Saccharomyces cerevisiae S288C: one gene and its partners. Changing the gene in region 3 together with the main gene of any one other region gives a genetic interaction. Each region holds a gene or a part of one and is shown on either strand. Other genes may lie near its edges.

Region 1 (4,043 bases), on a different chromosome or scaffold from region 3:
GATATCCATCAAACTATTTGTACCTGAAGATGGATTGTGTGCTTCTCTTGTTTCAATGGTAGATTTCAAATTATTCAATCTGAGAACCAAAGCATTTCCTGAACCAAACCCAATAAATAAGTCCATATTTTTGTTTGAATTGGTGGCATTCAAACGTGTTATACATTTTGGATTGGAGTTCTCCTTCAAAAGATCATTGACTATAGGTAGCTTGAAAATATCGAATTTAATCAGTAACCTGCCCTCTGCTTCCATTTGGATATAGTATATATTGGATTTCAAGTCCATAAGTAGTAGTGTTTCGTCATTATTACTTCCTCCGTTTTTGCTCTTGGACGAAGGTATCCAAATTGACGTAGTGTTTTTCTCCCTGAACATAATTTCCAATGAAGAATTGTTGATAATTTTTGTTTTCTGTAACTCTTTATCAGCAAATGAGTTTAATAATACTGTCGATTGTAAAACGCCAGTATTATCTAGAAATGCCAGTTCATTGGTTCCCACAATGATAGCACCATTCGAAACAGGTACAATGGTGTGTAGATCCCAAGGCAGTTCCTTGACAAATGCTATTGTGGTTGATTCAATCTTGGTGGCACTTTCTGCAGGCTGGATATTTAATGTGAGTATAACGTATTGTGTAGGGAGTTTTGAAATGGTGGTGTTTCCTGCCCAAACAAGCTTTGGTTGGTATAAGAGCGCTATCGTTGGTTTAGTAAAATTTTTCAAGAACTGAATATCTATGATATTTTTGGCGCCTTCGTACAACTCACTCGCTACCAATACCACGCTTGGAGCCGTGAACTTGTCACCTAACTTGGTTCTCTTCCTCTTATTGAAAGTATTCGTCCCTTGGGATTTTTGATTCATGCTATGGATTAATTCACTATCGTCTATGTTCTCGTCCTCATCTTCTTCCTCCTCATCGTCGTCATTTTTATTGACATGGAAGGGTAGAAAAGCGATAATGTCATTATTGAACAGTAAGGCACAAGAACTTCCAGGATCCATTCTCAAGGTGGAAATTTTGGCCAGCTCTACCAACGATTTACCCTTGAACTTTCCTTCGTAGTAATGCAGGCTTAGGGTATCGATTGAGTTTGTTAGCGTGTTGAACTTTAAAATAGAGATTTTAGCGACGCCTGTGCATAAAAGCAGGCAACTTAACGGACTGTCTTTTTGGGGAATGAGGCCTATATCGGTGATCAAGCCATGAAACTTAAACTCATCAGTCAAATACAGTTTACCATCCCTAGTAGGCCTGTAGACAGAAAGGATATTTGTTCGCACCACTAAGAGCTCCTCATAATCTGAAGTAGTAAAATGTGTTGCTAATGAATGAGACACAACAGTAGCGTCAAGCACATCATCATATACATTCATAGGGCCAGTAGCTAGAGTAAAAAGCGAATCTAGGTTAGTACCTGATAGTTTTAATCAGTGAAGTGTTCAAGGGACGGTGATCTTCCTCAATTTACATATGATTGCTTTAACGCTGCTCTGTGAAATATGTCACCTCGAACTTACCTTATATTAAGATCACTTACTACGTTGTCTTATTGGGAGCCGACGGGATGAGGAAGCACAAAATGTCACTAATAGGGCTGGTCAGTGGCACAGTGAATCATAATATATCGGTTGAGCACCAGTTAAAGTATGAACATGTTAAATTTAAGACTCTCACTTATCAATGGTTACATTTTGGTCTAAATTTATTTATTTATGACACTATCAGGTACCTTGGTAAAGGAATTGAAAATAAATAGCACCCACACATCGCATGATGGCAGGAAATGAAAAATTACATCAGCGAACTAATGCTTTCTCGATGAATTATTCATCCATCAAAACGGTCTTTCAAGATTAATGTCTAGTTGCTTCAAAGATAGGCATAGTTTAGGTCATTTTATCAGCTACTGTAATATAGTCATAAGAACGCGAAAATGAAGGATGCTAATGAGAGTAAATCGTATACTATAGTGATCAAATTAGGCTCTTCATCGCTAGTAGATGAAAAAACCAAAGAACCTAAGTTAGCTATCATGTCGCTTATTGTCGAAACTGTAGTCAAATTGAGAAGAATGGGACACAAAGTTATCATCGTGTCCAGTGGTGGTATTGCTGTTGGTTTGAGGACTATGCGTATGAATAAAAGACCAAAACATTTAGCAGAAGTTCAGGCCATCGCAGCTATTGGGCAGGGTAGATTGATCGGGAGATGGGATCTTCTGTTTTCGCAATTTGATCAACGTATCGCTCAAATTCTATTGACCAGAAATGATATTCTGGACTGGACCCAATATAAGAACGCTCAAAACACAATTAATGAATTGTTGAACATGGGCGTTATTCCCATTGTGAATGAAAACGACACACTATCTGTTAGAGAAATCAAATTTGGTGACAATGACACTTTATCAGCAATTACTTCTGCTTTAATCCATGCAGATTATCTTTTCTTACTGACAGATGTTGACTGTTTGTATACTGATAATCCAAGGACAAACCCAGATGCCATGCCGATCTTAGTTGTCCCAGATCTCTCAAAGGGTTTGCCCGGTGTGAATACTGCTGGTGGTTCAGGTTCTGACGTTGGGACCGGTGGTATGGAAACTAAATTGGTTGCTGCAGATTTGGCAACGAATGCCGGTGTTCATACGTTGATCATGAAAAGCGATACACCTGCGAATATAGGTAGAATTGTCGAGTATATGCAAACTCTAGAACTTGACGATGAAAATAAAGTTAAACAAGCATATAATGGCGATTTAACGGATTTGCAAAAAAGAGAATTTGAGAAATTAAAGGCTCTTAACGTTCCACTACATACGAAGTTCATTGCTAATGATAATAAACACCATCTAAAGAATAGAGAGTTTTGGATTTTACACGGTCTTGTCTCTAAAGGCGCTGTTGTTATAGACCAAGGTGCGTACGCAGCCTTAACAAGGAAAAATAAGGCGGGATTATTGCCAGCAGGTGTTATTGATGTTCAGGGCACTTTCCATGAGTTAGAATGTGTTGACATAAAAGTTGGTAAAAAGTTACCAGATGGCACGTTAGATCCAGATTTTCCCTTGCAAACAGTAGGCAAGGCAAGATGCAATTACACGAGTTCTGAATTAACTAAAATTAAAGGTTTGCACAGTGACCAAATCGAAGAGGAATTGGGCTATAATGACAGCGAATATGTCGCTCATAGAGAAAATTTGGCATTCCCACCTCGTTGAAACGAACTAAAAAGTTATAGAGGATTCCCTTAATGATATTTCTTATATAAAACACTACCTTTATATTTCCAGGTTAAATAATGACACATTAAGCATGTTTTGTTTTTTTGAAGAATTGTGCAGAGCAGCTGTTTCTTCCTAATCCACATTAGTGTTCTTAACTCAAAAAAAAGGTAGTTGTTAACAGCTACTTTTTGTGATCCGTTAAAATCCTTCTATCTACTTATAAGCCCTAAATTAAATGAGTTGTGCGTATTTAAAATAAATGTATATTCAACCAAAGATTTGGATATCATCGTTTTTAACAGCCTCTAATTCTTCGTCATTTTCTATTCTGGCATGTTGTTCCTCATCCTCATTTTCATTAAAGTTCACTCGTTGACCTAACAATCCCGCAAAGAATTCATCGATTTGGTCGTCTGACCATTTGTATCCGGATGTGATGGGGGCTTCATAATTCGCAATTGGATCTTGAACTGAGTAGTTCAATTTCCTACCCTTGGAAGCCTTAGTATCGATATTCTTCTTTAGCTTGTTGTTCGAACGAGCATTAGTTGAGGTGATTGTAATTGCTGCACTTTCAGAATTGTGAGCGTTGGAAATCTTTTTGTCAATTAAATCGTTTAGTAAAACACGGTAAAAATCTTCGTCATCAAAAACATATGGGTTTTCGGTAATGTCAATGGCATTGTTATCCTTTCTTCTTGGGTCATAGTTTTTCGGGATATCAAGCCCATCATCCGAATTCTCATTGTCATCAACACTATCTTTGACAACGGGAGAAATCAATTCTGGTAGCCTGCCATTAGCACA
Region 2 (4,629 bases), on a different chromosome or scaffold from region 3:
GTATGCCAAAATGTGGTGCCGCGGTAACAGTAGCATCACACAGAGCATGAGAAAAGCAAGAAAAGTGGAAGTCTGTATGTCACATTTTTATTGAAAATGCTATTTGCTATAAGGTTCGCTATTCAACTGATTGAACCGAGATAGACAAAATGTTAAACTTTTCATAGAGACGTTATTGTGATAGGGTTTACGCTGAGAATGGTTGAAACATACTTGCTAATAAACCACGTCACGTCAAAATATCAGTTTTTCTTTTTTAGTTATTCCCTTCTCACTTTTGACTTGAGATGAGATCGTTACACTTTTATTGAATACGAACGGATCACGATACATCCACATATACGAATGTTCGGCCAGACAGGGCATCAGAGTATATACCCTTTTTCCTAAAATGGAAGGGCCCTAGATCGTTGGCATCAGCGGTTACCTAACCGAAGTGGATCAAATCAGCGCCTATTTTTCCGTTTAGAACGATTAGATGCCGTCAATATGTATGTGCTTACTGTATCATCCACGTAGTAAAGCTGGGGCGTAGCATCCCTAGGTTACTTTCTCAATACTGGGGTCCCTGACCAAAGATAAAACATAACCTATTATGGCGTACGAGTCAAAGTTAAACGCTATTTGACTCGGGCAGCATGCATGACCCGGGGGAATGGAAAACTTCTCATGGCTACCCCAACGAAGCCAGACAAGATCTAGGAGATGTCTCCACCTTCCGAGCTACACTCTCACATCTCTTACATAGACACTGTGAAGTAAGTGATTGCACACAATCCAAAGAAGCACATCAAATAATATGTAAATATTACCCGTACAAATGGCAAATCATGTCCACTTTCCCGTTAGTCATCGGGTGGGCCGGTCCTCGCACTTTCCTTTTGTTTCGGATGTTAATTAATATATAAATGGATCTATAATTTTCAAAAGGTATAAACGCACAGTATGAAAAATATTGCAAGAATAATGTGTTTATAAATTATTTTTTTTGCTGGTAGCAAAATCAACTCATTGTCTTCCATTCAGAGTCTAATCGAACGTTATCGCAATGCTTGCACACTTTTAAACAATACGATTTAGTTTAAGTGGATGGACCCCCACGCTTAGTGTTCCACAGGTTTGTCCCCACTGTTTTTACATTCCACTGTACATTTTTGCAATAGAAGGTCATTGTATGCTACCTTGGGCGGCTAAGAATACCTGTAAAAATTTGGAGAAATTAGATTCGTAAAGAATGACTCGCAACGACTCCAATGATTTCTTCTTTTCACCCTTTGAACGGCCGATATCCGCGCGGGATCCTGACCCCGCAATTTACTCCACTAGACCGGCGTGTTTCTCTTTTTCCTTTTCCTGGGGTTAGAGCCCAAGAGCTAATAGCCGACAAACGGACTCCAAAAAAAAAAGGAGGCACAGGACAAACGCAGCACCTGCGTCATTCACGCTGAAGCGGCAGCAAGCATTTTCGATCAGCTCCAATTAAATGAAGACTATTCGCCGTACCGTTCCCAGATGGGTGCGAAAGTCAGTGATCGAGGAAGTTATTGAGCGCGCGGCTTGAAACTATTTCTCCATCTCAGAGCCGCCAAGCCTACCATTATTCTCCACCAGGAAGTTAGTTTGTAAGCTTCTGCACACCATCCGGACGTCCATAATTCTTCACTTAACGGTCTTTTGCCCCCCCTTCTACTATAATGCATTAGAACGTTACCTGGTCATTTGGATGGAGATCTAAGTAACACTTACTATCTCCTATGGTACTATCCTTTACCAAAAAAAAAAAAAAAAAAAAAAAAAAAAAAATCAGCAAAGTGAAGTACCCTCTTGATGTATAAATACATTGCACATCATTGTTGAGAAATAGTTTTGGAAGTTGTCTAGTCCTTCTCCCTTAGATCTAAAAGGAAGAAGAGTAACAGTTTCAAAAGTTTTTCCTCAAAGAGATTAAATACTGCTACTGAAAATATGTCGTCGTCAATTACAGATGAGAAAATATCTGGTGAACAGCAACAACCTGCTGGCAGAAAACTATACTATAACACAAGTACATTTGCAGAGCCTCCTCTAGTGGACGGAGAAGGTAACCCTATAAATTATGAGCCGGAAGTTTACAACCCGGATCACGAAAAGCTATACCATAACCCATCACTGCCTGCACAATCAATTCAGGATACAAGAGATGATGAATTGCTGGAAAGAGTTTATAGCCAGGATCAAGGTGTAGAGTATGAGGAAGATGAAGAGGATAAGCCAAACCTAAGCGCTGCGTCCATTAAAAGTTATGCTTTAACGAGATTTACGTCCTTACTGCACATCCACGAGTTTTCTTGGGAGAATGTCAATCCCATACCCGAACTGCGCAAAATGACATGGCAGAATTGGAACTATTTTTTTATGGGTTATTTTGCGTGGTTGTCTGCGGCTTGGGCCTTCTTTTGCGTTTCAGTATCAGTCGCTCCATTGGCTGAACTATATGACAGACCAACCAAGGACATCACCTGGGGGTTGGGATTGGTGTTATTTGTTCGTTCAGCAGGTGCTGTCATATTTGGTTTATGGACAGATAAGTCTTCCAGAAAGTGGCCGTACATTACATGTTTGTTCTTATTTGTCATTGCACAACTCTGTACTCCATGGTGTGACACATACGAGAAATTTCTGGGCGTAAGGTGGATAACCGGTATTGCTATGGGAGGAATTTACGGATGTGCTTCTGCAACAGCGATTGAAGATGCACCTGTGAAAGCACGTTCGTTCCTATCAGGTCTATTTTTTTCTGCTTACGCTATGGGGTTCATATTTGCTATCATTTTTTACAGAGCCTTTGGCTACTTTAGGGATGATGGCTGGAAAATATTGTTTTGGTTTAGTATTTTTCTACCAATTCTACTAATTTTCTGGAGATTGTTATGGCCTGAAACGAAATACTTCACCAAGGTTTTGAAAGCCCGTAAATTAATATTGAGTGACGCAGTGAAAGCTAATGGTGGCGAGCCTCTACCAAAAGCCAACTTTAAACAAAAGATGGTATCCATGAAGAGAACAGTTCAAAAGTACTGGTTGTTGTTCGCATATTTGGTTGTTTTATTGGTGGGTCCAAATTACTTGACTCATGCTTCTCAAGACTTGTTGCCAACCATGCTGCGTGCCCAATTAGGCCTATCCAAGGATGCTGTCACTGTCATTGTAGTGGTTACCAACATCGGTGCTATTTGTGGGGGTATGATATTTGGACAGTTCATGGAAGTTACTGGAAGAAGATTAGGCCTATTGATTGCATGCACAATGGGTGGTTGCTTCACCTACCCTGCATTTATGTTGAGAAGCGAAAAGGCTATATTAGGTGCCGGTTTCATGTTATATTTTTGTGTCTTTGGTGTCTGGGGTATCCTGCCCATTCACCTTGCAGAGTTGGCCCCTGCTGATGCAAGGGCTTTGGTTGCCGGTTTATCTTACCAGCTAGGTAATCTAGCTTCTGCAGCGGCTTCCACGATTGAGACACAGTTAGCTGATAGATACCCATTAGAAAGAGATGCCTCTGGTGCTGTGATTAAAGAAGATTATGCCAAAGTTATGGCTATCTTGACTGGTTCTGTTTTCATCTTCACATTTGCTTGTGTTTTTGTTGGCCATGAGAAATTCCATCGTGATTTGTCCTCTCCTGTTATGAAGAAATATATAAACCAAGTGGAAGAATACGAAGCCGATGGTCTTTCGATTAGTGACATTGTTGAACAAAAGACGGAATGTGCTTCAGTGAAGATGATTGATTCGAACGTCTCAAAGACATATGAGGAGCATATTGAGACCGTTTAATCACTTTTCATTGCTCTCTAGGGCGTGTTCGCTTCTCTATGTAACTGCATTTCACATATATTCATATTATAGCCTTTATAACATTACATAAAAGACATGATATACGACATACTTTAAAGTTAGAATTTTTGTTGTATTAATTTTCTCGAAGGGATTAGAATGTAAGTACATTTAAATAGCGCCGCAAGAAACATAACAGCCGTTAACACTAGCAAGATGGTAGATTACTGTGTCTAAGAATTTAAATTGTTTTGCTTGCTTTTGCCACTATAAGACAATAATAGTAATAGAAAAGAAATGTTAGTCGAACAGCAAATTGGTAAAAGTGGAAAAAATTATTTCGTTATTCATTTTAGGCCGTTCAGAAATATAGCATTTTGGTTCTTGCACTGAATGGGCCCTGAGGACAGTGTGCGGCTGGATAGCCATATACTTCGACATTACTTTTCACCTTTGAAGGGGGATGTATGCTTATACACAATCAAAGCTCGGCCTGTGCAGGTTTCACTACATAAGCTTTTTTACCATAGAAATCTTGCAGAAGGAAGTAAGTATCAAGATATTACGTATCGCATCCATAGAACGATAGCAGAAAAATGCAGTATATGATAACGATATGCTTCACAGCTGCGGCCCATTTGGGGAAAAAAGGAAAAGGAGCATCCTCGATCTTACAGATGTCGCTTTTTCCTCTTGAGGTCATTCCCTAACCTTGGATCCAAGTCAATCTGGTATCTTCCCACCCTAAATAGTGTATTCCCCATGTAATAAGATCGGACGATAAACTTCGAAACAATTCTAGCCTTTTTTATT
Region 3 (4,843 bases):
AGCGGAAAGTGCCTGGAAAAAATTATGCCGTCAGCATGGGGTTGATCCTGTTGAGTTATTCAAGCATTCCCATGGTGCAAGATCACAAGAAATGATGAAGAAATTTTTTCCAAAATTGGACAATACCGATAATAAAGGTGTTCTTGCGTTAGAAAAGGATATGGCAGATAATTATTTGGACACAGTAAGCCTTATCCCTGGTGCAGAGAATTTATTGTTATCGTTAGATGTAGATACTGAGACTCAAAAAAAGTTACCTGAAAGGAAATGGGCTATCGTTACCTCTGGTTCTCCATATTTGGCATTTTCATGGTTCGAGACAATATTGAAAAATGTTGGAAAGCCCAAAGTTTTCATTACTGGATTTGACGTGAAGAACGGTAAGCCTGATCCCGAGGGTTACTCAAGAGCTCGTGATTTATTGCGTCAAGATTTGCAATTAACTGGTAAACAGGATCTGAAGTATGTTGTCTTTGAAGATGCACCCGTGGGCATAAAGGCCGGCAAAGCAATGGGCGCAATTACTGTGGGTATAACATCCTCGTATGATAAGAGCGTTTTATTTGACGCAGGTGCAGATTATGTGGTCTGTGATTTGACACAGGTTTCCGTGGTTAAGAACAATGAGAACGGTATCGTTATCCAGGTAAACAACCCTTTGACGAGAGATTAAATAAATAAGGACATCGCAGAAGCACGAATATATAGATAAAATTGTATGTAAAAGCAAAAGTTGAACTGCGTATGATTTCTTATAGTGAGTATGAAATTTTTTTTTTTTTTGGTTATCTAACTTATTTTTCTTTGATACAGATCGTGTGGTTGAACAACCGCGCCGAAGGCTTGATCAGTGGGCTGATTACCAGACATCTTCTTGGTATCTACCTGAAGTCTTGAGCATCTTGATTAGCTCTGTTGCTTCATCAGTGGTAATGGATTTACCACGGGATAAGATGCCAACCAATGCGGTTGACACACCCTTGGCCATACCCTTTGCATCACCACAGACGTAGATAAATGCACCGTTGTTAATCATTTCAAATACTTGGTCTTCGTAATCCTTTAATTTATCTTGAACATAAACTTTTTTGGTGTTTGGCAACCTGGAATGGGCCACGACCATTTCGAACGAACCATCCAATTTTTTGGCGTATTCTGGCCATTCGTCCTGGTACAAGAAATCATCAGTGTTACGGGATCCATAAAACAGTATATGCTTACCTAGCGAAACGTTGTTACCGCCCTTCTTTTGTGATTCGAGGAACGCGACACGCTCTCTGATAAACCCACGGAATGGGGCAACACCGGTACCTGGACCGATCATGATAACTGGGGTGGAAGGGTTGGAAGGCAATCTGAAGTTAGAACGACGAACGTGGACGGGCAATTTGTAATTGGCGAAAAGTTTACGTGGGCCATTTAAATCGTAGTGAACAGGTAGGTTAGTTTCGGCAATGTTAACATTGTTTTGAGCCAATTGAATGTTTCTTAACAAGTTAGTCGTAACACCAACAACTGGAGGAGCATCAGGCAATTCTGGGTTAGGAAAGTTTTCCACAATGGAGGTGACATGGACGGTTTGCTTTTCAGACAGAGAAGAGGAAGAGATAGAGTAGTAACGAGGAGTCATTTGGGGAACTGATTCGACCAAGAATTGCATGGGTACGGTGTCCCATTTGGCGCCATCAGACAAATATTTCAGAGCATCTGCGATGTTGAAATATTTGGAGGTTATCTCGACGGCGAATTGGTCCTTGTCTTTCGAAAGCAGAGTCAATTTTTCCTTGACGTCAGCGTTGGGGGCGAACTGAATCAAAGATGAAAACAATTGTCTGGAGACAGGTCCTGTAATTTCCAAATAGTGTTTAATAGCAGCGCCAATAGTAGTTGGCGTTGGGAAGGGCACTTTGACGGTGGGATCCAGGGGCTTCAAGTCAAAAATGGTTTCAGGGTCCAGGTTGAATATGGATAAGAACTGTTCGACCTTTTCCAATGGGTTGGAAGGCCAAACAGCAAGATGGTCACCAGTGGAGTACTTGATGTTAGAGCCGGACAAGTCAAATTCAGAGTGGATGCAATTACGGTCATTGGAAGAGAACAGTTCGCGAGATTTCACGATGGGTGCAATATACGGTTGAGACAAATCGAAGGGACCCAATTGGATGCCGTCTGCGTTGCGGTTCAACTGATGCGAGGGCAAATAGTGAGCAGAGGGTTCACCAAGCGACATGGAGTCAGTGATTTCGTTCAACACAGTGTACTGGAATTGAGAGGTGAACTTGGCTTCCTGTTCGTCCAAATGCAGTTCGTCTTTCAAAACCTCCAGGATGGAGTCCTTCCAGGCCATGTAATCTTCGTCTGTAGTTCCTGCACCATCATCAGCTTCACCGAGCTTGCCTAGTCTGATAGCGCCCGCGGCGGAGAGATGCTTCTCGGCCTTCTTGGCGGCACCATTAAAGAATTCATAAGTAGAATTTCCCAGACCAAACATATTATACCTCAGGTTCGATAGTGCACCCGCTTCCGCATTACAAATAAAGTCTTCAAAGTTGACCGCCCCGTCGGGGAAGTCTCCTTCACCATATGTAGAGATAAAAATCGAGACTATGACGGGCACATCGTTTAGCGACTCAAAGTCGTAGTTCTCAACATCTGCGCACATCACGTTTAGGTTGAACTTGGCCACCAGCTCCTTGGAAAACTTTTTGGCGTAATCCTCGGCAGTCCCAGTCTGCGACGCATACAACACCAAGTAGTTCTTGTTGTTTTCGGTCACCACCTGAGCAATGTCTCTGTTGCCCGAGCTGACAGCTGTGATATCTCCGTCATCGGACATCAGCAGTTCCTTGATGGAGTTTCTCTTTACGTACAGTAGCACGGCAAGCACTAGCCCCGCCAGGACAGTGAAGTCGGTGTTGTCTATTCCAAACGGCATGATATGTGCGACAGTAGATCACTTGAAAACCGCGGTCGTTGTCTAGCGTAGCGGTGACCACTACAGGAACGCAAACTTAAGCTACATTGTTCACCATATTATACTATATATATAACCTCGCGCTGAGCTTTACAGGTGCGTTTGTCCTCGAAGAACGAAAAGCAGCCCGAAAAAAAAATGCAAAACGATAAAAGCTGGCTGGAGAACAATAGCGGGTTGACCGCTAAACGAGCACACACGTGATGTGTCGTGAACTGTGATCGTGGTAGTATGATGCTAGTATGTAGTGATGGCTGCATGGTACCAGCGGTGACGTTCGGTAGACTCTACTCTCCTTTGTTCCCCCGGTGTGCCATCTTTTGAGTTTTGCGTGCGTTATCTACTGGGAGCAAGGGTCTGGCTCGTACGCATAGAGGCTGAGGACGAACAGTGTGCGTTTGCAGGCGTGGATATAGAATACATAGCTATATAGATGGGTAGTGCGCATGGGAAAGTGCAATTGAGCGAAGGAAGGGGCAGGTGGACTGTAGATGTCGCCGCGTGATTTTATCGTTGTTTCTCTTCTTGTGTTTTCTTATGCGTTAGTATGCCAGTTTCGCGGTGTGATTCCCAAAGTGAAATTTTACTGGAAGAGCAAATCTTGTAAGTCGGCGCTCGAAAGCACAGTAGCAATCCATCATGGGAAAATCAGCGTATGTAAAGCTGGAGCGTCCTTCGTGGCGCATCGGAATTTCTTCAATTGAACTACCTGTTGCTAACAACAGTTTTTTTTTTCTCTCTTTTATGTATATAGCGTTATATTCGTGGAAAGAGCCACTCCCGCTACACTAACGGAACTGAAGGATGCTCTCTCGAATAGTATCCTGTCCGTGCGAGACCCTTGGTCGATAGACTTTCGGACGTACCGGTGCTCTATCAAGAACCTACCCGCGGATGTCTCCAAGCTCATGTACTCGATAACGTTCCACCACCATGGCCGGCAGACCGTGCTAATCAAGGACAACTCAGCGATGGTGACGACTGCCGCAGCGGCGGATATCCCTCCGGCGCTGGTGTTCAATGGCTCATCTACGGGCGTTCCTGAGTCCATAGACACTATTTTGTCGTCCAAGCTGTCCAACATCTGGATGCAGAGGCAGCTCATCAAGGGTGATGCCGGTGAGACGTTGATCTTGGACGGGCTCACCGTGCGACTCGTCAACCTCTTCTCCTCCACTGGGTTCAAGGGTCTCCTGATAGAACTGCAGGCGGACGAAGCGGGCGAGTTTGAGACCAAGATTGCAGGCATCGAAGGACACCTAGCTGAAATCCGGGCCAAGGAGTACAAAACCTCATCCGACTCGTTGGGGCCGGACACCAGCAACGAAATATGTGATTTGGCGTACCAGTATGTTCGTGCTCTGGAGCTGTGAGTTCTTACGAATGCTTTTTCTTTTTTTTTTTTTCTGTTTGTATATTGCGGTGTATACGTATAGATAGATAGTCTAAATAGTAATCTTCAACCTTATGTATCTCGGCTCATGCAGTGAGGAAATCCATGGATAAGCCCGGATTGTAGTCATCGTCGCTGTCGCTGTCGCTGTCGCTGGCGTCCTGTGTTTCCTTCTGTACAGGTTCTTCTGTCGGTTGAGAGTCCTCTTCAGCGTCTTCCTCCTCCCTTGCATTGTCAATAAACTTGTTCAGTGTACTCGTATGCTCAAGTGGGCGGGGTTCCTGGTGTAGCACCTCGTAGCCCTCTGGTAGGTCAGCCTCTGTCATGGCAACGAATATCGTGGGAAACTCGATCACTGTGGTGTTCTTCAACAATTCTCCGATGCATTTCTCATGTATAGCCAACTCCACCAGTTTTTTTGAATCCATTATATGCGTGGTGTTGTAAGGGAACGTTTTCGTGTAGAATTTGAGCCC

The links. A genetic interaction does not mean that the proteins touch.
Region 1: mutations in NCP1 (region 3) and PRO1 are lethal when combined (synthetic lethality), as found in Saccharomyces cerevisiae (one large-scale study listed by BioGRID).
Region 2: mutations in NCP1 (region 3) and JEN1 together harm fitness less than expected from each alone (positive genetic interaction), as found in Saccharomyces cerevisiae (one large-scale study listed by BioGRID).

The regions. Positions count from the first base shown.
Region 1 is NC_001136.10:1,060,692-1,064,734, reverse strand, and holds PRO1 (glutamate 5-kinase), read left to right. Parts: upstream 1-1,943; coding exon 1,944-3,230; downstream 3,231-4,043. Other genes in the region: cleavage/polyadenylation factor CFT1, read right to left, coding at 1-1,383; rRNA-processing protein BFR2, read right to left, coding at 3,504-4,043.
Region 2 is NC_001143.9:20,269-24,897, forward strand, and holds JEN1 (monocarboxylate/H+ symporter), read left to right. Parts: upstream 1-1,965; coding exon 1,966-3,816; downstream 3,817-4,629. UniProt on the Saccharomyces cerevisiae protein: Essential to lactate transport.
Region 3 is NC_001140.6:188,635-193,477, reverse strand, and holds NCP1 (NADPH--hemoprotein reductase), read right to left. Parts: upstream 2,936-4,843; coding exon 860-2,935; downstream 1-859. Other genes in the region: DOG2 (2-deoxyglucose-6-phosphatase), read left to right, coding at 1-673; SRB2 (Srb2p), read left to right, coding at 3,614-3,627, 3,729-4,347; BCD1 (Bcd1p), read right to left, coding at 4,454-4,843. UniProt on the Saccharomyces cerevisiae protein: This enzyme is required for electron transfer from NADP to cytochrome P450 in microsomes. It can also provide electron transfer to heme oxygenase and cytochrome B5. Involved in ergosterol biosynthesis.